Linked DNA regions of Xenopus tropicalis. The protein of the gene in region 5 binds, or shares a complex with, the protein of the main gene of each other region. Links are inferred from orthologs where the notes say so. Each region holds a gene or a part of one and is shown on either strand. Other genes may lie near its edges. The genes, in order: pigp, pigq, pigh, pigy, piga and pigc.

The links.
Region 1: piga (region 5) and pigp share a complex: the UniProt entries of both Homo sapiens proteins name them as parts of the glycosylphosphatidylinositol-N-acetylglucosaminyltransferase (GPI-GnT) complex. The link is inferred for Xenopus tropicalis from reciprocal best matches to the Homo sapiens genes PIGA and PIGP.
Region 2: piga (region 5) and pigq share a complex: the UniProt entries of both Homo sapiens proteins name them as parts of the glycosylphosphatidylinositol-N-acetylglucosaminyltransferase (GPI-GnT) complex. The link is inferred for Xenopus tropicalis from reciprocal best matches to the Homo sapiens genes PIGA and PIGQ.
Region 3: piga (region 5) and pigh share a complex: the UniProt entries of both Homo sapiens proteins name them as parts of the glycosylphosphatidylinositol-N-acetylglucosaminyltransferase (GPI-GnT) complex. The link is inferred for Xenopus tropicalis from reciprocal best matches to the Homo sapiens genes PIGA and PIGH.
Region 4: piga (region 5) and pigy share a complex: the UniProt entries of both Homo sapiens proteins name them as parts of the glycosylphosphatidylinositol-N-acetylglucosaminyltransferase (GPI-GnT) complex. The link is inferred for Xenopus tropicalis from reciprocal best matches to the Homo sapiens genes PIGA and PIGY.
Region 6: piga (region 5) and pigc share a complex: the UniProt entries of both Homo sapiens proteins name them as parts of the glycosylphosphatidylinositol-N-acetylglucosaminyltransferase (GPI-GnT) complex. The link is inferred for Xenopus tropicalis from reciprocal best matches to the Homo sapiens genes PIGA and PIGC.

Annotation. Positions count from the first base shown.
Region 1 is NC_030678.2:12,648,149-12,650,814, forward strand, and holds part of pigp (phosphatidylinositol N-acetylglucosaminyltransferase subunit P), read left to right. Parts: coding exon 1-74; intron 75-897; coding exon 898-970; intron 971-1,672; coding exon 1,673-1,791; intron 1,792-2,666. UniProt on the Homo sapiens protein: Part of the glycosylphosphatidylinositol-N-acetylglucosaminyltransferase (GPI-GnT) complex that catalyzes the transfer of N-acetylglucosamine from UDP-N-acetylglucosamine to phosphatidylinositol and participates in the first step of GPI biosynthesis.
Region 2 is NC_030685.2:21,225,050-21,228,982, reverse strand, and holds the start of pigq (phosphatidylinositol N-acetylglucosaminyltransferase subunit Q), read right to left. Parts: upstream 2,801-3,933; 5' UTR 2,257-2,800; intron 1-2,256. Other genes in the region: nhlrc4 (NHL-repeat-containing protein 4), read right to left, coding at 3,404-3,933. UniProt on the Homo sapiens protein: Part of the glycosylphosphatidylinositol-N-acetylglucosaminyltransferase (GPI-GnT) complex that catalyzes the transfer of N-acetylglucosamine from UDP-N-acetylglucosamine to phosphatidylinositol and participates in the first step of GPI biosynthesis.
Region 3 is NC_030681.2:52,816,212-52,820,216, reverse strand, and holds the start of pigh (phosphatidylinositol N-acetylglucosaminyltransferase subunit H), read right to left. Parts: upstream 2,801-4,005; 5' UTR 2,658-2,800; coding exon 2,481-2,657; intron 1-2,480. UniProt on the Homo sapiens protein: Part of the glycosylphosphatidylinositol-N-acetylglucosaminyltransferase (GPI-GnT) complex that catalyzes the transfer of N-acetylglucosamine from UDP-N-acetylglucosamine to phosphatidylinositol and participates in the first step of GPI biosynthesis.
Region 4 is NC_030677.2:67,794,317-67,798,413, reverse strand, and holds the start of pigy (phosphatidylinositol N-acetylglucosaminyltransferase subunit Y precursor), read left to right. Parts: upstream 1-1,297; 5' UTR 1,298-1,495; intron 1,496-2,477; exon of another isoform or gene 2,478-2,520; coding exon of another isoform or gene 2,521-2,738; intron 2,739-4,036; coding exon of another isoform or gene 4,037-4,097. UniProt on the Homo sapiens protein: Part of the glycosylphosphatidylinositol-N-acetylglucosaminyltransferase (GPI-GnT) complex that catalyzes the transfer of N-acetylglucosamine from UDP-N-acetylglucosamine to phosphatidylinositol and participates in the first step of GPI biosynthesis.
Region 5 is NC_030678.2:29,606,187-29,609,686, reverse strand, and holds part of piga (phosphatidylinositol N-acetylglucosaminyltransferase subunit A), read left to right. Parts: coding exon 1-109; intron 110-1,039; coding exon 1,040-1,339; 3' UTR 1,340-3,500. UniProt on the Homo sapiens protein: Catalytic subunit of the glycosylphosphatidylinositol-N-acetylglucosaminyltransferase (GPI-GnT) complex that catalyzes the transfer of N-acetylglucosamine from UDP-N-acetylglucosamine to phosphatidylinositol and participates in the first step of GPI biosynthesis.
Region 6 is NC_030680.2:107,290,750-107,294,676, reverse strand, and holds the start of pigc (phosphatidylinositol N-acetylglucosaminyltransferase subunit C), read right to left. Parts: upstream 2,801-3,927; 5' UTR 2,775-2,800; intron 1-2,774. Other genes in the region: suco (SUN domain-containing ossification factor), read left to right, coding at 3,328-3,377. UniProt on the Homo sapiens protein: Part of the glycosylphosphatidylinositol-N-acetylglucosaminyltransferase (GPI-GnT) complex that catalyzes the transfer of N-acetylglucosamine from UDP-N-acetylglucosamine to phosphatidylinositol and participates in the first step of GPI biosynthesis.

The DNA.
Region 1 (2,666 bases), about 17 Mb from region 5:
GAATTCCCCGTCCCCGCTACCTGAAAGGGCAATTTATGGCTTCGTTCTGTATTTGGGTTCCCAGTTTGGCTTCAGTGAGTATCAGCACTTGCATATCATTGTGTATTGGAGCAGTTGGTTCTGTGCTAGTGAGACGTACAGGCCGCCATCTTCTGCTGAACAAGCTCCTTCCATACAACATGTTTTATTGTGCCCCTGAAGCTTTGGTCACCACCTGTCTCCGGATCACTCATATGGATCAAAGCTTAAATAAAGAAATATCATGTCCATTCAGTCCTCTCATTGCAAGGGACCGTAGTGGCCAATACTGCTCCCCACATTACTCCTTGCTCCCCTTTTCAGTTTTGGACTGGGCTCCCCAGGGCCACCAGAGAACCTGACAGCCTCTATCTCCTTTTTACTAGTGATGTGTGGGTCGACAAAAAGTTGATCTGCACTGGACAGTAACCCGCCGAGCCTCGGAATTTGTAGCCCTGGCCAACCCACCATCTCTGTCATCACAAAAGGCCCAGGGCACACAGGCACAAATCAATAAATAGCGACATTTGGAAGCGTAAGCGGGCAAAGTAAGGTCAGGTTGGGCTTAAGAAAGTTGTGTGGCTGCCGGCCCAAGCCCACCCAACCTGCAGGTCCCTGACCCGCACATCACTACTTCTTTACTTCTGTCCTCTAACAGGGCCAGCACTTCTCAAACCTTTGGCCTACCCAACTAAACCATTGGGGGGCCCCATAGTCTCTGTTTATTATTGCACAGCACCTAATAGCCACCTCTCAGCTATGCCACAAAACACTGGTCACAATCTAGGATACAGTTACTTTTGGGCATTTGCACCCTACTGCACTTATTTAATTGGTCTTTCTGGTATTTGTGACTGAGCTGCTGTTTTGTACTTTCAGTTCTGTACCTAACGTGGGGCTTCATCCCAGAGTCTTGGTTACACTCATTAGGACTGACGTACTGGCCCCAAAAGTAAGTACTGATGTAAGCACTATACACATAGCTGTACTGTATGCACTGTGTTCCCTTTCTCTCTGGGCAAAGCAGGATGGCTGCAGGTTTACATGGTATAGTGTCAGTCTGAAAAGTCTTTGTAGCCCCAGATACACAGAAGGGGATCATTTACTAACATCGGGCATCAGGGTCGGACTGGGGGGTGCAGGGCCCACCGGGGCTGCCGACCCAGGGGCACTGGAGGTGCCCTGCCAGCCGCATCCCCTGCATCCCCTAGGGGCCCCCACTACACCCCCTAACCACCCACAGTGGCTCTGCCCAACGTCCTCCCCTAAACGCGCCTAAGTTTAACGCATCAGGGGAGGAACACCGTAGGCCAGGGGAGCGCTGGCAAGGGTCGGGTCTGGGCTGCTCCTGGTGTCCCGGCGGCCCAGTCCAACCCTGTCAGGTATATTAGCCCCATTGCACCCAAAGCCTTCAGTAAAACAATTAGCTTTAATCAGACTCCTGCAGACAGAAGAATGAATGCACATCTGTGATCAGTTACTCTGCACAAATTAGAGCATATTTGTTAGTAAATGTGGCACAGTATGTCAGTAGGATAACAGGATACATATTGTGTGCAGCCACAAAGTCCTACCTACAGTATAGTAATTGCAGACTGATAGTAATGCCTTTGTTGTCTGGCATTTCAGTTTCTTTTACAAATTGTGTTTATAGATATTGGGCTGTGGCAGTGCCCGTCTACCTCCTCGTTGTGTTCGGCATCGCCTATATCTTTCTGTTTGGTATAAACATGATGAGCACTGCTCCCCTAGACTCCATACACACTGTAACAGGTAAGTGGGACTCTGGCTACAGTATATAGAATCTAGTGTATATGTGTGTGTGTGTGTATATATATATATATATATATATATATATATATATACAGTGGTGTGAAAAACTATTTGCCCCCTTCCTGATTTCTTATTCTTTTGCATGTTTGTCACACAAAATGTTTCTGATCATCAAACACATTTAACTATTAGTCAAAGATAACACAAGTAAACACAAAATGCAGTTTTTAAATGAGGGTTTTTATTATTTAGGGAGAAAAAAAATCCAAACCTACATGGCCCTGTGTGAAAAAGTAATTGCCCCCTGAACCTAATAACTGGTTGGGCCACCCTTAGCAGCAATAACTGCAATCAAGCGTTTGCGATAACTTGCAACAAGTATTTTACAGCGCTCTGGAGGAATTTTGGCCCACTCATCTTTGCAGAATTGTTGTAATTCAGCTTTATTTGAGGGTTTTCTAGCATGAACCGCCTTTTTAAGGTCATGCCACAACATCTCAATAGGATTCAGGTCAGGACTTTGACTAGGCCACTCCAAAGTCTTCATTTTGTTTTTCTTCAGCCATTCAGAGGTGGATTTGCTGGTGTGTTTTGGGTCATTGTCCTGCTGCAGCACCCAAGATCGCTTCAGCTTGAGTTGACGAACAGATGGCCAGACATTCTCCTTCAGGATTTTTTGGTAGACAGTAGAATTCATGGTTCCATCTATCACAGCACGCCTTCCAGGTCCTGAAGCAGCAAAACAACCCCAGACCATCACACTACCACCACCATATTTTACTGTTGGTATGATGTTCTTTTTCTGAAATGCTGTGTTACTTTTACGCCAGATGTAACGGGACACGCACCTTCCAAAAAGTTCAACTTTTGTCTCG
Region 2 (3,933 bases), on a different chromosome or scaffold from region 5:
CCCCCCCCTCGCATTAGAACAAGCCCTTGTGGGCAGCAGTTACAGCCATTGCAAGTCTGACTGGCACTCATTAGGGTGAAGACACATGGGGTGATTAGTTGCCGAAACTTCTGGCTACAGCTCGGGTGCAGGCACATGTAGCCGATATCCGCCAAAAAACACGAGACTTAGGCTGATGCCACACGTGGCGTTTTTACGCTGCGTATTTTCTAATTCTCTCAGCGGCTGAAAAACGCCTGATATCATCATCCATAGAAATAACTTGAAAAGACTTGAAGCAAACCACAATGTGGAAATACGCTAGAAAACGCCTTAGCACGGATTTTTCAAGCATTGGCTGAAATACGCCAGTATTTGCAAAGCAAGCTATTCCTATGTATACGCAAAGGCAGCTGCCAGACCTAGCTGAAATACGTAGCGTTTTTTACTATTTTGCACTATTAGAACCATGGAAACGGGATTTGCTACATCACCAGTACTAGGCTGAAAAACGCCATAGTCAGGGGCTGTGTGGCTTGTGCGGCGTTTTTAGGCTGAGAAAAAACGCAGCGTAAAAACGCCACGTGTGGCATCAGCCTTAACGTCTTCGGCAGATATCAGCTACATGTGCCTGCACCCAAGCGTATTCCATTCATTCGGGTGCAGGCACAGGTAGGAGCATATGGCGATATTTTCAGCAAGCGTTTTTCCGCTTGCTGAAAATATACGCCATATACTATGGGGCACATTTACTAATCCACGAATCCGAATCACGAATGGGAAAAAATTGGATTGGAAACGAAAATTTCTGAAGATCGTAAATATCACGAAAACGCTTACGAAAAAATCGTATTAGTCACGAAAATATCGTATTAGTCACGAAAATATCGTATTGGCGATCCAAAAGTCACGAAATTTTCGTACCGAACAATTGTAAACAGTGGTAAAATCTTTCCGATTTTTTCGTGCAAACGTCCGAAAAAGTCGTGCGATATACGAAAAAGTCGTCCGGACGCCAGAAAAAAACTGCGAAAATACGCTCGGAGCGTTCGCATGAACGCTCGAGCATTCGTGCCTTTGTAAATGTGCCCCTATGTGTGGCATCAGCCTTACAGCTACAGCATGTGCGTGCATATCAGGCAGGTCTGGCAATCTGTAGATTGTGGCAAATGCCAGAGGTGCTGCTGTAAGGTGCCATAGACAGTAATTATTTAGTGACCTGGTAAGGGGCTGTTATGGCCTCTATGTGCTTGAAATGCAAGGGCCTATTTTGAATCGCAGTCCAGACTTGATGTGAGGTAGGATCGCAAGAAGAAGCTTCCCACTGTTATGTCACACGCATAATGGGCGAACTGGGGCACTTGCTTATTAAACTTATGTATGCCCCCAAAATGGTGCCTGCACTGGGAGTGAGCTCCCAGCCATGTAGTGTTACTGTGGGTTTTTTTCCCACAAAATACTTAAAAATACTTAAAAAGTTTCTTTAACTCAGAATGTTCCCTTCATTATCCCTGACCACTGGTTGGAGGAAACTATTTTTGGTTATTAGTTGCCCATTAAGGGTTTGCTTTTGGTTTGCATCTTTAATTGTTTCAACTAATTTGACACTAGGCTTCTAACCTAGTCCTGGGGAGCTAGGACTCTAATCCCTAGTGTTGCAACATGGTCACCCACACTTTTTTTGGTCAAAATAGTGTCCGCCCCAATCTTGGTACACCCCTAGTATATCACTAACCATCAATAGGTTTACTATTCCAACATTTCCATTGCCATTTCAAAAACTACTTCACCATCCCTGTTTGAAGCTGCTTCAGTGCTTTATAAAGAGGGCTCTTAGGCTACTGCTTTTTGGGGCCAGGCTAGATTTTGTCGTTGCCCTGCAGGACTTGAATTAGGATAAGGGGGCAAACATTCATTATACCCTTTCTTTTTTATGTGAGTATTTTTTTATTGTTGTATACAACATATAACAGGTAAATTATCAACTCAGAGTATCAGATTATCATACAAAGTGATATAATAAAAGTAAAATCAACAATTAATACCTGAAAAAGAGCATAAAAGTTACCATAACATATATCACCAATTTATAAAGCTCTCTCTAAGGCATATTCTGAGATTATATATAACACAAAATGAGTACACAATCTTAATAACTCACAACAATGTAAAGAGTATTGTATGGATAACCTAGTTCTTTTGTAATAAAAAGTAAATTATAGCTAAGGGATGAGGTTGTTATGTCAGTTGCTCTGTATATAAATTGTTAATACTCACTGATGAGTCCCCGGCTGCTTTGCCACTTTGTTGAGTGTGTAACATCAGGGCAAGCTTGTCCTTCAGATAACAAGAGGAACCTCCCAATCACACAACACATTCATGCCGTGCCCTCAGGGATGCAGCTGATAGGATGCACTAATGCACTATGTAGCACTCATTTGCTAAGCTGGGACAGTACTCATTATGGGGCTGTCACAGGCAGATGTGTGCGATTGGTGATGTTGGTTATTCTGTGATAGAGTAAATGACCCATATGTAATGTGGCACCCAAGGGCAGAGCAAGCAGGGGCGAATTCCCTAGGCACTGTGCTCTGTAGAGCCCCACTAAACAGTAGCTGTCGGTGGTAAAGGCAGAGTGAACAAACTCCACGGCCCATAATTACCCTTTAAATGTGCAACTAGCACAGCACCGCTAGCAGCAGAGCATTGATTGGTCTCTAGCAAAATACTAAGGCTGTGACAAGTGGTATACCATGAGTGAAGTGAGGAACAGCCCAAAAAGTAAAATGTGCAAAGAAAATTGCTTCCCCCACTTTTTTAAACAACACCTTAAAGGAACAGTAACACCAAAAAATGAAAGTGTATAAAAGTAAATAAAATATAATGTACTGCTGCCCTGCACTGGTAAAAGTTGTATGTTTACTTCAGAAATTCTACTATAATTTATATAAATAAGCTGCTATGTAGCCATGGGGGCAGCCATTCAAAGGAGAAAAGGCACAGACACATAGCAGATAACAGATAAAACACTATTGTATTCTACAGAACTTTTCTGTTATCTGCTATGTAACCTGTGCCTTTTCTCCTTTTTTCCAGCTTGAATGGCTGCCCCCGGGGCTACACAGCAGCTTATTATATAAATTATAGTAGTGTTACTGTAGCAAACACACCAGTTGTACCAGTGCAGGGCAACAGTGCATTATATTTTTATTACTTTAAAGCTCTTTCATTTTTTGGTGTTACAGTTCCTTTAATGACAAGCCACCTTTATTTTTATCAGTGTTTAGAATTTACAAAATAGCTTTTTTTCATGTATAATTCACATACACACATATATATATTTCCTCATATATAATGACATACAAATGATCGTATACATGCCCATGCACTTTCTAAAATCTATATGCTGTTTTCCTATATTTGCTTAGGGATTTTCCACTGATCTCCTGGGGCTGGTTGGGTTATAATAAGGCCGTACCCGGTACTTATAAACCTTCACCGAGTTGTCAGCAGAATCAATTACAAATAATTGTCCAAGAGGTGAGCAAGCTATGCCAGTTGGCCTACTCAGGCCCTTTGATACCACACAGATAGGTGACCCACTTGAAGGGAAAAGGGTGACATTTCTGTGCTGTTGGTCGGCAACCATGATATTGCCTTCTGGATCCGCACATATTCCTACTGGGTTCCCAAATGTGTGCTGATAAGTTTTTGAGAGAGAGCAAGCAAGTTTTAGATTGCTTGTAAATCGCTTGATATCCCCACATTCCTCACTCACTGCAAAGCCCCCGTCTGGAGTGGCACATATATGGGTTGGCCCCTTCAAGCCATTGGCTTGTTGAACTTTGTGGATACGATAAGCTCTGTCTACATGAAATGCCAGAACTGATCCAGAAGTGTATTCTGCAACTAAAAGGCGTCCAGAGGAATCTGTTGCTATACCCTGTGGAGACT
Region 3 (4,005 bases), on a different chromosome or scaffold from region 5:
ATTTTGCAAGTTCTCCCACTTAGAAATCATGGAGGGGTCTGAAATTCACATTGTAGGTGCATTCCCACTGTGAGAGACAGCATTAAAAAAAAAAAATCAGAAAATCACATTGTATGATTTTTAAAGAATTTATTTGTATTGCACTGTTGCACATAAGTATTTGAACACCTGAGAATCAGGTGTTAATATTTGGTACAGAAACCTTTGTTTGCAATTACAGAGGTTAAACGTTTCCTGTAGTTCTTGACCAGGTTTGCACACACTGCAACAGGGATTTTGGCCCACTCCTCCACACAGATCTCCGCTAGATCTGTCAGGTTTCGGGGCTGTTGCTGAGCAACATGGAGTTTCAGCTCCCTCCAAAGATTTTCTATTGGATTTAGGTCTGGAGACTGGCTAGGCCACTCCAGAACCTTGATATGCCTCTTACAGAGCCACTCCTTGGTTATCCTGGCTGCGTGCTTCGGGTCATATCATCTTCAATGCTCTGACCGAGGGAAGGAGGTTGTTGCTCAAAATCTGACAATACATGGCCCCATTCATCCTCTCCTTAATACAGTGCAGTCATCCTGTCCCCTTTGCAGAAAAGCACCCCCAAAGCATGATATTACCACCCCCATGCTTCACAGTAGGGATGGTGTTCTTGGGATGCAACTCATGCTTATTTTTCCTCCAAACACGGCGGGTGAAGTTCAGACCAAAAAGTTCTACTTTGGTCTCATCTGACCACATGACTTTCTCCCATGCCTCCTCTGGATCATCCAGATGGTCATTGGCAAACTTCAGACGGGCCTGGACATGTGATTACTTGAGCACGGGAACCTTCCGTGCAGGTGGACTATTAAGGCTGATGCCACACGTGGCGTTTTTACACTGCGTTTTTTCTCAGCCTAAAAACGCCGCACAAGCCACACAGCCTCTGACTATGGCGTTTTTCAGCCTAGTACTGGTGACGTAGCAAATCCCGTTTCCATGGTGCTAACAGTGCAAAATAGTAAAAAACGCTGCGTATTTCAGCTAGGTCTGGCAGCTGCCTTTGTGTATACATAGGAATAGCTTGCTTTGCAAATACTGGCGTATTTCAGCCAACGCTTGAAAAATCTGTGCTAAGGCGTTTTCTAGCGTATTTCCGCATTGTGTGGTTTGCTTCGAGTCTTTTCAAGTTATTTCTATGGATGATGATATCAGGCGTTTTTCAGCCGCTGAGAGAATTAGAAAATACGCAGCGTAAAAACGCCACGTGTGGCATCAGCCTTAAAGGCAGAGTAACAGGTCTTTGAGAGCCAGAATTCTTGCTGATGGCCAGGTGTTCAAATACTTATGTGCAGAAGTGCAATACAAATAAATTCTTTAAAAATCATACAATGTGATTTCCTGAATGTTTTTTTTAATGCCGTCTCTCACAGCGGGAATGCAACTACAATGTGGATTTCAGACCCCTCCATGATTTCTAAGTGAGAGAACTTGCAAAATTTCAGGGTGTTCAAATACTTATGTTCCTCACTGTAATTAGAGAGTACAAATATAAATGCAATAGGACAATATTACAAAGAAATATAAGTCAGAAATGAACAAACAGAAATGAAGAATATTTATGTGCCTAATTTCTGGCACGGTGACATGTGGCGTAAAGTCCACTTCTATTCGCTTGATTTTTGTTAGCAGGTGGATATATCTCTTTCACTGCATCTACTCTGTATTTAGAGAACAGGGTTTTACAAAATCTGTTGCAACAAGGCTCATGGTGCACCCATTACTCCCTTTGGCAGTATGCAGAAAGTCACTGGGTGGAATTTATAAACACACAGCAACTAATCAAGTGTATGCTTTCACTGTACTACCTGCAACTGGTCAAAAATAGCTAATCACTGATTGGTTGCACTAAATGGATTTGTTGCATCCCCTGTTGCAGCAGTGTTTTTGGGGCTGCTAGTGCCCAAGGCAACATCCCCAGTGCAGCCGCCTCACCTGTTTAGCACTGGAGCAGGCCCGAAGCAGAGGCATTGCTAGTGAAGAGAAAGAGCACTAGAAGAGCTGAATTTGGCTCCTAGAGTTATTTGCAGTCTGTGGTAACTGGCAGCACTCTGCCCCATGAGGCAAGGTTCTGATTGGTTGCTATGGGTTACTATCCAGGGGCAAACTTGCCTAGTGCTTATAAATGACCCCATCATTTCATTTTGTGCTTCCACACAACAAAGCGAATTTTTCCTTCATTGACTCTCATGAGGCACAACACACAATTGGAAAATACACTTTCGCCATAAAAGTAAATACAAACTTTACTGAGCTCCCTGCCTTTCACCCCTGTTCACACAGCGAGACTCTCCCTTTTATAAAGCCTAATAAATAATATAAACCTGCCGCGCCCATACTACTCCGCTAGGCGGAGGGAGGCAGAGTGGCAGGCGAGTGAAGGACACAACAATCTAATACAAACGAAGCAGCTAATAAACAAAAGGCATGTTTGTAACCCGCCAGACCTGCGTGTAAGCGAAAATCGCATACGCTGCGAGCCATACTGCACAGGTGCACGACGTTACGCTTCGCACCGACAGCTTAGGGCAGACGACACTGAACTCCCTGCAGGAGACGCTGTGGGCTTCTTGGTGCAGAGTGATTTTCTCGCCGTGCGCGTCCAGGAACTCTTTAGTTCCCATTCTCCTCGCTCTGTTCTACAGCTTCTCCGGCATCAAAACGGAGTGCGGACAATTCTGGTTAAGCCCTTAGTTTCAGAGAGCCTCTGGTTTGGTAGAAAACTAAGGGTTACTTCAGTTTTGCCCATCCGGCCATACAAAAGCCACGCCCCTTTCCATAGCCTATGTGGAGTGAGGGTTTGTATATGGGCGTTCTGTGCAGTAGTGCGTGAAGGTTACCGGATAAACAGGGGACGTGAAATGACTGCATCGTTTTACAAAACAGAGAAAGGGAAATGATCTGTGATTATGAGATGTATTGATTTGACATTCCTAAAGTTTAAAATGTTGCTTATATGTTTTGAAATATATATATAAAAATAAAAAAACACAACTAATAAAGGTAATTCAGAAACGATGTGCAACAACATAAAATTGCTGAGAGTGGCGATACTATAAATACGTACGTTACAACTCTCCTATAAGCTGTAGGAGCAGTATATATATTACATTACAAACTTTTCATCTTGGAGTGGTCATGATTAATTACTTGCATAGTCATGATAGGTTTCCCTGTCTCCTTCCCTACTCTTCCTGCCCTGCCTGTGTGTGCCATACTCTGCCTGCCCTATGCTGCCTGTGTGTGCCATAATCTGCCTGCCCTATGCTGCCTGTGTGTGCCATAATCTGCTTGCCCTATGCTGCCCGTGTGTGCCATACTATGCCTGCCCTATGCTGCCTGTGTGTGCCATACTCTGCCTGCCGGCTCTACCCTGACTGTCTGTGCCATACTCTGCCTGCCCGGCTCTACCCTGACTGTCTGTGCCATACTCTGCCTGCCCTGGTCTACCCTGCCTGTGTGTGCCATACTCTGTCTGCCCTCTGCTGCCTGTGTGTGCCATACTCTGCCTGCCCTATGCTGCCTGTGTGTGCCATACTCTGCCTGCCTAGCTCTGCCCTGACTGTCTGTGCCATACTCTGCCTGCCCTGGTCGACCCTGCCTGTGTGTGCCATACTCTGCTTGCCCTGCTCTACAGTGTCTGTGTGTGCCATACTCTGTCTGCCCTCTGCTGCCTGTGTGTGCCATACTATGCCTGCCCTATGCTGCCTGTGTGTGCCATACTCTGCATGCCCGGCTCTACCCTGACTGTGCCATACTCTGCCTGCCCTGGTCTACCCTGCCTGTGTGTGCCATACTCTGCCTGCCCTGCTCTACAGTGTCTGTGTGTGCCATACTCTGTCTGCCCTCTGCTACCTGTGTGTGCCATACTCTGCCTGCCCTACCCTGCCTGTGCATGCCATACTCTGCGTGACCTATGCTCCCTGTGTGCACCATACTCTGCCTGCCCTATGCTCCCTGTGTGTGCCATAT
Region 4 (4,097 bases), on a different chromosome or scaffold from region 5:
CTACAGACTTAAGCCCTACCTCCCGTTTTGCTGCCCCAAAAGCTTGCTAGCCCTAGCCTCCCATATGTTTGTGCCTGAAACTGTTTCCCTATTTAAGGGGTAGCTTAATTAAATAGAAAAGTCATTCCTGAAAAATCCCTTGCTAGTTACTGGCTTTTACTAATGAGGGACATTTAACAATGAGGTGCTCAAAAGACTTCTGCCCTTTTAGATCAGATTCTGTTCAGGCTACAGACTCTGACCTTATCTCCCAATTTGCTGACAAGTAGCTTGCTGGCCCTATCCTCCCCTTAGTCTGTGCATATAACTGCGTTACTATTCTTTCTTGGGATAGCTTGAGTTGAAGGAAAAATATTAGTGCAGGACCAAAACAGCTCCCTAGTGTTCTGTTAATTCAACCACATCGGATTGTCCTAACCAAATAGGTCCCTAAACTCCACCTAACCCAGAAAACAGTCAAGCCACCCAGGGCGCGCTGGCTTTCTATTAGGGATGCACCGAATGCACTTTTTTTTTAGCATATGCTAATTAGGATACGGAAGGGTTAAATTTCTAACTTCCGTGTTTATGTGACAAAAAGTCACGTGATTTTTAAGATTCGGATTCAGTTCTGCCAGGAGCCGAAAAAAGCATAATCTTGGCCAAATCCTGGATTCGGTGCGTCCCTACTTTCTATCCACTACCTGACATATAATGAATAGAGTTGCCTCCCAGCAGTTATTTTACAGGCCTGACCAATAAAACTGAAATTTGATTCCAACAGTACTAATAGACAAGATAGCTACCAACAAGAGAAGGAATGGTATTTTTTGTAGAAAAGGTGGCAACACTAACAGTAATTCACCAGCTTCTCTATGCACACTCATGACAACCAGCTCCCCTAATGATCAAATACCCCTTGCAGCCGGTTAGCCTGCTGCCATGTTGTTTTAATTACTGCTGGCTTAGAACAAACTGGCCATACACACATCAATAAAATCATACAAAACCTAGTCTCAAACAATTTTTGGACCGTGTGTGGTCTCAGAATAATCGCCCCCAAAGTTTGTCAGAAGAAGAACTGAACTTGTATGGAAAATAAGGAAGATAAGATCCAGCCACAGCAATGTAAAATGTCCCTGTGCACAGGAAATTGCAGCAGACAGAACAATCTTTATCTAGTGTCCATTTTAAGATATCTGTGTGTGTTCAACTCCCTCCCCACCACAGAAGCCCCCCCCCAGCTCCCTACCTGTCACATACCCCATCCGACTAGCTCCATACTCCCCCTGACTTCCTCCCTGTTTTATCCATGCTGTAGCTTTCTACCTTGTCTACTCCCTACTCTGTGATTCTTTGTGCTGCAGCATTCTATACTACCCGCAACCTGTTCAGTGCAGTATCAGACTGGGCTGCTGGGGTACTGGGAAAAAAACCTGTTGGTCCCCGGCGGGCCAGATCCCCTCCCCCAGGGCTCTCCCGCGATCCACCGTCACCCTCCCCCAACATACCGCAGGTAAGTTTCTTTTAGAAGCATGGTCGGAGGGTGTTTGGGGCCTCTGCAGGGGTTGGGGGGGGCTGGGGTTCCTGAGGCAGAAGCCCCAGTGAGCCCTGCACCCCCCAGCCCGACCCTGTTTCTGTGTCCTATAGGGTTCTCAATTTATTGCCCATGAACCTTTTCAATGATCTATATATATGCTGTGCCTTTCCAGCTTTCATTTGTATTTTGCCTGACGAAGGGGCCTGGGTGCTTCAACACAGGGTCAGACTGCGGAGTGAAGGGCCCACTGGGGCTCCCGCCCCAGGGGCCTTGTAGGTGCCCGTGCAGGGCCCCCCACCTGACATCCTCCCCCGAGCGTGTAAATTTAACACGTCAGGGGAGGAGCACTCGGGCAGGGGGAGCATCGGCAAGGGTCGGGTCTGGGCCGCCAGGGCCCACTTTTCCCGGTGTCCCAGCGGCCCAGTCCGACCCTGCTTGGACAGCTTGCAATTTTTCTTACTCAGCCAATAAAAGGTATCAGATTTTCTGCATTGTTTTTAATGGCTAACACAGTACAACATCTTAATTCCATAGGATTCCACAGTGAACAAAGCTTTTTGCTTTTAACAGGAATACTGTTACTGTATTCCTGTTTACCTATAACTTATTTTGAGCACTGTTAGAAATTAAATTGCTACCACCTGTCAGGCAATGTGGGCTGGTACCTGGTTTAACACAAATACAGAAGGAAAAATCGCCTGGCAGTGAATGGGTTACATATCTGTGATCGCAGGAATCAAAGGGCAAACCAGATTCAAGCAATAATATCAAGTAAAGGTAGTTTAACATTACAGAAAGACTTTAATCACAACTCTTTCAGATATATTTTGAGGGTTTTGCAGGCTGTGGGTTTATATAGTTACATGCACATGGTAGGAACCACTGAGACTGCTTTGTGTCGTGTGAGGGGCTGTTTATAGTGCTGCACAGGAAGAAGGGGTGGAATCGTTCCTGGGAAGTAAAGGTTGTGTGTCAGTCAGTTTCTGTGCAGAAAGTGGAACATGCTGGCTGTCAGGGCATGGGGAAGAACATATAATACCTTAGTCCAGCGGAAACTAAACGCTGCCTGTCCCACTGGCGCCCTGCCAGCTGTCACACTGCGGCCCTTGCACTGCTCTTTAGTTGCCAGATCCCCGGAACAGAGCCTGAAGGACAGCAAGACGTTTGATCCTACCCTCTTGCAATTCCTGGTCTGCCCTCTCTCAAGGAAATCGCTGAGGTAAAATACCTGGCACTGGGTTAAAGGGCTCTGATACAGTCAGTATACTGCTGCTGGGTGGGGGGGTCATTAAGATCACCTATGATCCTAAGCATTGCTTCCCCCCAGAGGTGCGGGCTACAATACAAGGATACTGCCCCCTGCAGTGCTGGGCTGCCCCTAGTTTGAGCAAAGTGTCCCATCAGACTTGGGTTTCTCTGACTTAAAGTTATAGCCACGTATTGTTCTATTTATAATTTCTAATTAATTACCCTTTAGAAAGACTATATTGATATTAACCATTAGCCAAATGTTAGGGCTTATATTGAAAATATCGCTGCTTATTTTTATTGAAAGGGGAACTACAGTTTATGAACCAAAATTTGTTAAAGAGCCCAACACAGAAACCCCTAATATACCTAGCACTGTAAACTGTTTCTTTCTGCTAAACCTTCTAACCTTCTTTCTGCATTATTTAAAATCCTGGGAAGAGGATTAAAGAAGAGGGACTAAAACACTGATGTTACAAATTGTAACAACTTCTCCACATCTTACAGACAGCACTCAGAAACTACATTACCCACAATGCATTGCCCAGTGATGTTATTTTCCCTATTCCTTATTATATGTGCGGGGAATTGTGGTAACTGGAGAAGGCAGGCTGAGGACAGTCTACTGCATTTTATTTGAGTCTCAAAGTAGTCAGTCAGGTCAGCAGGGGAACAGGGTGTCCCATACACCTAAGCCTGTACTCTGTATAGGGAAATATTCAGTTTATTAACAGCAAGCAGATGTCTCTTTGCTATTTCAAGCTTAACTAGAACTCCTAAATGCATTTTATATATATTATATATATATATATATATATATATATATATATATATATATATATATTGAAAAAAAGACCAGCAACACCGGATCTATTGCAAACAATCAATTATATATTGAAAAATACATGAACAGCCAACGTTACGTTTCGGTCTTGAGAAAGGTCCCGACGGGGACCGAAACGTAACGTTGGCTGTTCATGTATTTTTCAATATATAATCGATTGTTTGCAATAGATCCGGTGTTGCTGGTCTTTTTTTCAATATTTAAACTCTTTTACCGTGCACCCGGGACAAGGATTGAAGCGGTGTGCCACCCTTGGCTCGATATATATATATATATATATATATAATATTGATTATGGAATGACGCTTGTGGTTTGAAATGTACTGATTTTGGTGATCAAATTTCCCGACATTAAATATAAACGGCTGTGATTCCCCATTCATTGATCCAGATCTGATTGTTTATATGTCATTTTTTTTCCCTAGATATGAAGAATCTACCAATGAGTTAATTAATGACGAGCTGGGTATAGCTTACCCAATTGTT
Region 5 (3,500 bases):
CATTAACAGGCTGCTGGCTGGGGAACTGCTGAGCCCTGAAACAATCCACAGAACAGTGAGCACATTTTATACATGGAGAGATGTGGCTGAGAGGACTGAAAAAGTATGTGTAAGCTGCCTTGCTTCAAATACTGTTGGGAAGATAGCGACGTGAGCCTGAATGTATTTATTCTTCATGCCCTTTTTTCTGTAGACTGTGATGCTGACTGTTATTATCATTTACTGGCGTCCCTGCCCCGAGTGCATACAACTAAATACCCTACCGCAGACATTCACACTAAGGCTGATGCCACATGGGGGCCGTGGAAAAATGCAGGCTAAGAATCAGTCCCTCAACAGGCATCAGCCTGCACCTGGAACCATAGCCTAGGTGCAGTCACACACTGCAGATATCAGCAAAGAAACACAAGAGTCTGCATTTTAGAGCAATATCCGCCGCTTTTGCTTGCAGCCAGTTCTACACAATGGTTCTGGTGCAGGCAAGGTAGGAGGCTGATGCCAGTGGAGGGGCTGTTTCAGGCCTGCATTTTCCCCATAGGCCGAGAATCGGCCTGTGTGGCATCAGCCTATAGCCTGATGTTTTTTGGACTCTGGGGGTGGAAAGTGAAGCAAAGCCAACAAAAACAAATACCAGGCAGCCAAATTAACAAATACCAGGCAGATGGTGATCTGGTTAAAATCAAATGCCAGTTCAATGAGGTTACAAATATAATCACTAATCATTCTTTTAATCTTCCTAGAATGCATAGATTAGGTTGCATAGATTAGTGCAACCTAGTTATAAAGACTGGTTCAGGTAATAGAAAATATAGTTCCCCCTTGTTGCTGATATTTACCCTTCAGGTCCTCTTCCCTGCCACTAGAAATCAACAAAAGAAGGTTGGGCGCTGTACAAGGTTGGGTCATGTATGACCACTTTTAGTTGCTACTAATCTGTAATTTAGAAAGTATTATGGCTATAAAGATGTTTTTTTTGCCAAGAATTACGTTGAAGGAGATTCTGTAAGATAATCTTCACGTTATATCTGTCTCCTTGTAGGTATACAATCGAGTGGCCCAGGAAGTTGTCCTACCAATGGACCAGAGGCTTGAGCGACTTGTGAGGCACTGCGGAGTAGTGACTGGCTGTATTTTTGCCCTTTTTGCCATTGTAAGCTTCCTGTTGCTGAACTTTCTGAGATGGATGACTCCAGATTCTTCTATTGACATTGCTGTGAATGCAACAGGGCCAAATGGTGCCTGGTTGAGACAATATTCCACTGAAAGGAAACATGAACTCACCAGAAAGAGGGACCCTGATGCCTGTAAAGAACCATCTGACCTTTCTGCAGAACATTGATATATTTGGTGAACAACTGAATGATTTGTACAGTATTCTCAGTGCGAAGTGCTGCCTAATGCAATCTGATGCTTACTATTTGGCATCATTTCCAATTTCTTCCATTCTACTTTTAACAGTTATACTGTTATACATATTGTTATACATTTCTGTTGGCCTCTGCCCGTAGCATTGAGGTTTTACTTTCCTACAAAGTGCACAGGGCTGATCTTTGGGTAATGAAAAGCATTTGTGCTAGGCCTCCAATAAAAGAGGCCCATTGGGCGTGGGAAATTATTGGTAAAAGTACAAAACATGGATGATATTTTCATATATACTTTGGCCTTTTAGCCATTGTTAGAATACAACTTATTGATGACTATGGACAACCACAAACTAACTGGGTGTAGCCCAACAACAGCTGAAGGCATTGCAAATTGCACACATTTGAAAAGTTACTCTGCCCTTATATTGGGGCCCTGCACTTCCGTTACAGCATGGGGTCCCATCTTGTCTAAAGCTGACCAAGGTCAGATCCAAGTTTAACCAAATTGGACCAACAATGCACTGAGCTGTATCAGGAAGGTCTGATTGTTTGGCCACATCCGCACCCTGATTCAGTCCTTTCTAACACACCTGATAAATATCTGGCTGATTATCTGGCAAGTATCAGTCAGACAGGGGCCCATAGATTTTTTGATTGTGCAAGAGTAGCCCCTTAACTGAAGCACTTTGTATGTTTGAAGTCTGTATTACAGCTCGACAGGCTAATGAAGTCATGGGGGCTTATTTACTAAAACCGGGCAAATCTGCCCACTGCAGTTACCCATAGCAGCTTATCTAGCTTTCATTTTTTTTTATGGGGCTGATCGTGCAAAAGTAGCCCCTTAACTTAAGTACTTTGTATGTCTAAAGTCTGTATTTCAGCTCGACAGGCTAATGAAGACACGGGGGCTTATTTACTAAAACCGGGCAAATTTGCCCAGTGCAGTTACCCATAGCAGCTTATCTAGCTTTTATTAGTTTACTGTAAGAAGTATGGAGAGCCAGGTTAGTACCTATGGGTGCTATGGCTGCACTGAGGCTAATTTGCAAAGTGTTGATAAAAGGTACAGTACATGAATGAGTTTACTGATTTACCTACCTCCTAGGGTTGTCAGATCCAAACTAAAGGGGCAGTGTCTTGCTCTTATCAACATGAGCCAAATAAATCAGAAATATATTCTGCCAATTCTCTGTTTTAAAAAAAAAAAAAAAAAAACTGGTATTTTATTAAATAGGCAAGCAGATGGTTTGGTTTTTACCTTCACACCGTTCCCCTGGAATCAGCTGCTGTCCCATACGCACATTCCATGAGAAGGAGAATCTGATTAAATCACTTGTCCTCGAGAGTTGGAATTAAATTGAAACTTTCATACATTATAACCCCCATTTATTATTATGCCACGCTTTAATAGCTCTTTGTTATATTCTGTCATAATACAGGTTATTATCATATATTTATATTGTTTATTCCTTCTAAGCAGCTGTTTGCCTTTACTCAGCCTTCTTATCCCTTTCAGGCGTTTCGAGTCAGACAGAAAATAAATAGTTCCATGAGCACCAGCAAATGGGTCCTTCATATGCAAGCATAAATGTGCCAATAACTTGCCAGAAACATAGTTCATCATTTTTATCATCATCAATTAGTGGGCAGAACACATTTCCCTAAAGACCCTGTTTATTTGGCTCATGTACAATAGGTTATTAATTCCCCTTTATGCACTGGCATAAAGTGTCTAACATAGGGTTACCACCTCAGCAATATATTGAATCCACATCCTGCATGGCTAATTAGCAATTTATTTAGCTGAATGCTGCAGACTGAACTGATTTATGTGCAGCCATGCAGCATGCATCTTAATTACTTGCTAGCCATGCAGGATGTGGATTCAATATGGGACTGGTATTAAAGTGAGGTGGCAACCCAGTTGAACATGGAGTGGTTAGGAGAATACACATAGATGCTCAGGTATACAAAATACAGAGCATAATCAATATTTTAGAGTTATTTTTAAATGTAGAAGTTAAAGGAAAGTATATTTGTATTTTTGAAACAAGGTAAATGACAGGTCTTCCACTGCTGATTAAAGTGAGGGTATTGTTCCCTGCTTTATGTACCGTCATTATGCTGCCTATGCAA
Region 6 (3,927 bases), on a different chromosome or scaffold from region 5:
TAACAATGGGCAAATCTGCACAAGTGTGGTCACCCAAAGCAACAGTCAGCAATTTAAATTACCCAATTTGAAATCCCATTATCTCACAATGACAAAAGTCAAACTAACTCCTAATATTAGAGAAAATCAACACAGAAAATGTGGAATTTCTTTCTTCTGATCACACAAAAGATATGGTAAAAATAAAAGAAGCAATGTCCTACGCTACCTTTATAATACCATGAGCAAAATGCATATGCTTTAACAGCTTCATGGAATATGTTTCTCTTCTGAATTGTGTTTACTCTGGTGTGAGACAGGCAGGGGGTAGTGGCAGAGATTTACTGACCTGGAAATATTCTATTTGCAGATCAAAATGACCTGTGTTTTTAATCCTCCACCTGATAACAGCACTGCCACGTTGCACTGAGCTTTTTTCAAAGGTAGTTATGTTCTATGTACTTAATAAACAAAGCAGGCTAAACAGTAATCAAGAGACATTTTGCTAAATGTTAGTAGGCACATTTATTTTATAACGAAATGGAAAAGTAGAATACAATTTAATCTTTATGAAAACTTCAGACTCTTTATAATGTAAAAAAAAAAAAAAAAAATCAGTCAGATGAAGCTCAAAAGTAAACAATTTATTGTAAGTGACTTCTTTAGGTTTGCCATGTGGTATAATTAGTCTGGGCACTATTCCGGGCACCTTTGTTAATGGGAATAAATAACTATCTTGCTCTGGACTGCAGCTTATCAAATTTTTGTAGGAAGAAACCAGGTGTTGGTTCACACATTTGACATTGACATATACAGTACAATTCTTCTGCGGAGGAAGCATGCATATACATTGCCGGAACTACACTGCAAATCCATTAAGTAACATGGGTTGTTCTGACCAAACAGAGGGTCTTTTTCAAGTGTAAAAGATTCAAGGGACAAACACAGATTTAAAAAGGAAAATATATGTCTAAAACACATTGGCAAAAAATGAGCACAATAAAAAAAACAAAAAAAAAAAACAACTTATGCTTAAAGGAAAACTATACCCACAAACAATGTAGGTCTCTATAAAAATATATTGCATAAAACAACTCATATGTAAAACCCTGCTTCATCTAAATAAACCATTTTCATAAAAATATACTTTTTTTTAGCAATATGTGCTATTGGGTACTGCTAAATAGAAAATTACCATTTTAAGAAGTAATGGCCGCCTCCTTGGATCATAGTATTAACGGTGCACACAAACAAGCCAAGGCACACATACATGCTAGGCCACATCAGCCAATTATTGGGCAGAGTTCTGCCCATATTATTAACATAATATAAACTATCTGTTGGTTAAGTATTCATTCTGGAGGTATAGTTTTGCTTTAAAATGTATTTTGCCATATACTCCTAATTTTTTTCCATTATAAAGCACTGTTTGAAAAGCCCCTCCTTTATAGACAGGGCAATTTGTTCAGAGATCCTTATTTACCTTCAAACAAATATACAATCCCCTCCCTTCCCTAAGGTGCAGGGTTTGAACAGGAGCTTCTTAGTGGAACAGGAAGTGCTAAAATGAAACTGGTTTCCTTTTCTTATTTTTTTCTTAACGGTTTCTTCATTAAAACAACAGACCTAAGGAATGTATTAACCTGCCTATTACACAGTAACTTGGATAATTCCATCTAATGAAAGGCAACTGCTAAATTTTAGCCTTGCCTCAAACATAGGGGCTGATTTACTAACCCATGAATCCGAAGGGGAAAAATTCAGATTGGAAAACGAACATTTTGCGATTTTTTCGTCGCCGTTACGACTTTTCGTAAATTATCGCGACTTTTTCGTAACCATTACGACTTGCACGAATTGTCGCGACTTTTTCGTAGCCGTTACGATTTGCTCGTATCTTGTCGCGACTTTTTCGTATTGAGCGCTCGTAAACTGCGGGCAAAACTTTCAGACTTAGCATGATTTTGGAAGCCTCCCATAGGACTCAATGGCACTCTGCAGCTCCAACCCGGCCCAAGGGAAGTCTCCCATAGGGCTCAATGGCACTCTGCAGCTCCAACCTGGCCCAAGGAAAGTCTCCCATAGGGCTCAATGGCACTCTGCAGCTCCAACCTGGCCCAAGGAAAGTCTCCCATAGGGCTCAATGGCACTCTGCAGCTCCAACCCGGCTCCAAGACCCTTGATAATGATAATGGTCTTAGGAGGAGACCGAAACGTTGGCCTGTTTTAACAGCATGTTTAAATAAAAGTAACGTTTTAATCTTTAAAAAATATCCTGGTGTGCACCCAATTTTTGGATAATTAGACACATGGAGGTAGCACCCAGGTGATTTATATTAGGGGTTTGGTGTGCTGAAAATTTTGTGGACTGTAATATATATATATATATATATATATATATATATATAGATGAGAGAGAGAGAGAAGGAGCAAGACTACCAACTGGCAACTTAAGAGACAGTATATAAAGGAGGCAGCAGTTACATATTCAAGAGCTCACTTACAAAGTGCAGGGCTGTTGCAAACTACAATTTTGTACTTTTTTCCGCACACTACAGTAGCAAGCCTTTGACTTATGGAACCTACTTTCTGCCGTTCTGTGCGGACACCTACGCAGAGAAGCACTAGCCATATTCCCCCCACCCCATATGTCAAGGCTAATATTGTCGCAACAAACAAAATGAAATGTATAGCAAACCGCAGTGACAGTAGGCAGGTTACAATGTAGGGAAAAACAATGGAGAGACCCTGTGGGTAGCTACCAACTCAAAAGAAAGCTGCCAGTAAGTGGGTACCTGATTTCCTAAAGCCAGGCTTCCGCGTTTCTCCAGCCCCTTGCAACCTTTGGCTGAGCAGCCAATCAAGAGCGGTCGTATCTTGAAATGCTATTGGCTGTCAGAACCCTTTCACTAGAAACAGGAAAGGCCACAATAGTTGCCAGGGGCGCCTTGATTCCAATTCGCTTAACACGAGTCTCCGCCCCCAGTCCATTACAGAGGCCTTGTTGTTCAAAAGAGCTGAGGCATCCTTTCTGGACCAAACCAATGCATTTGAAGGGGGAGGGTTGTAAAGGCTACGTCTGATTCGCTAACCTCGGCCGGAGTGACGCGTCTCCTTCCGCCTAAGCTGGCTGTGCAGTTGGAGGCATTCGCAGGGGATCGGCCGCGTTGGAGGATTGTAGCGTGGTGTGGGCAGTGCTTTTACGAAGGGGAAGTAGGGGAAACAGTGGCACGGCTCTCCCCGGCGCCATACACCAACGGGGACATTTTCAATGGTGGCTTGTACGACTAGTGCTCATTAAAGTACACGGGAAATGCCAGCGAGGATGAGAAAATACGTCCGGGAAAGATGACGAAACGGGTGTTTATTATATTCTGCCTCTTTCTGGTTGGCTCATGGTGAGTGCTTAGGGCCCTGCGCCTGTCTGTTGGAGCGTAAATGCCCACATTGCTGTTACTCGCTGACAGGTAGTCTCGCTGTCATGTACCCTGAATGAAGGGGGGGGGGGGTCTCCCATCATTGTGTGAAAAGCAGTGTCCTAGGAGTCCTGGTCTTAGTATAAATGTAACACTATGCCATTACACCAACAATAATTTCACTTTTTCTTCATGTTCATATGGATGAATTAAATGGAATCTTCTCCTAAAATGTATAATGAAATTGTAATTCCCAGCAGCTTTACAGTATACATTGATTTAAAACACTCAGTGATTTTTAAGCTATTTCTAAATGTAATTGCTGGCTGAAAGTTGTAGCTGCCCTGCTGCTTATATTCTCTGCACTGCTGGCTGTGACTCCTGAAACAATGTAGCAGCATGCATGTCAAAGATTGCTTAGAGTTCTACTTTCTTTCATTATGCCAAAACCGTTTTGCCCCTTAAATAATAACTGGCTAGCTAAGAAAACTTTTCCTTTCGTTAGTACACAGAGAATACCTCTTGGCTTTTA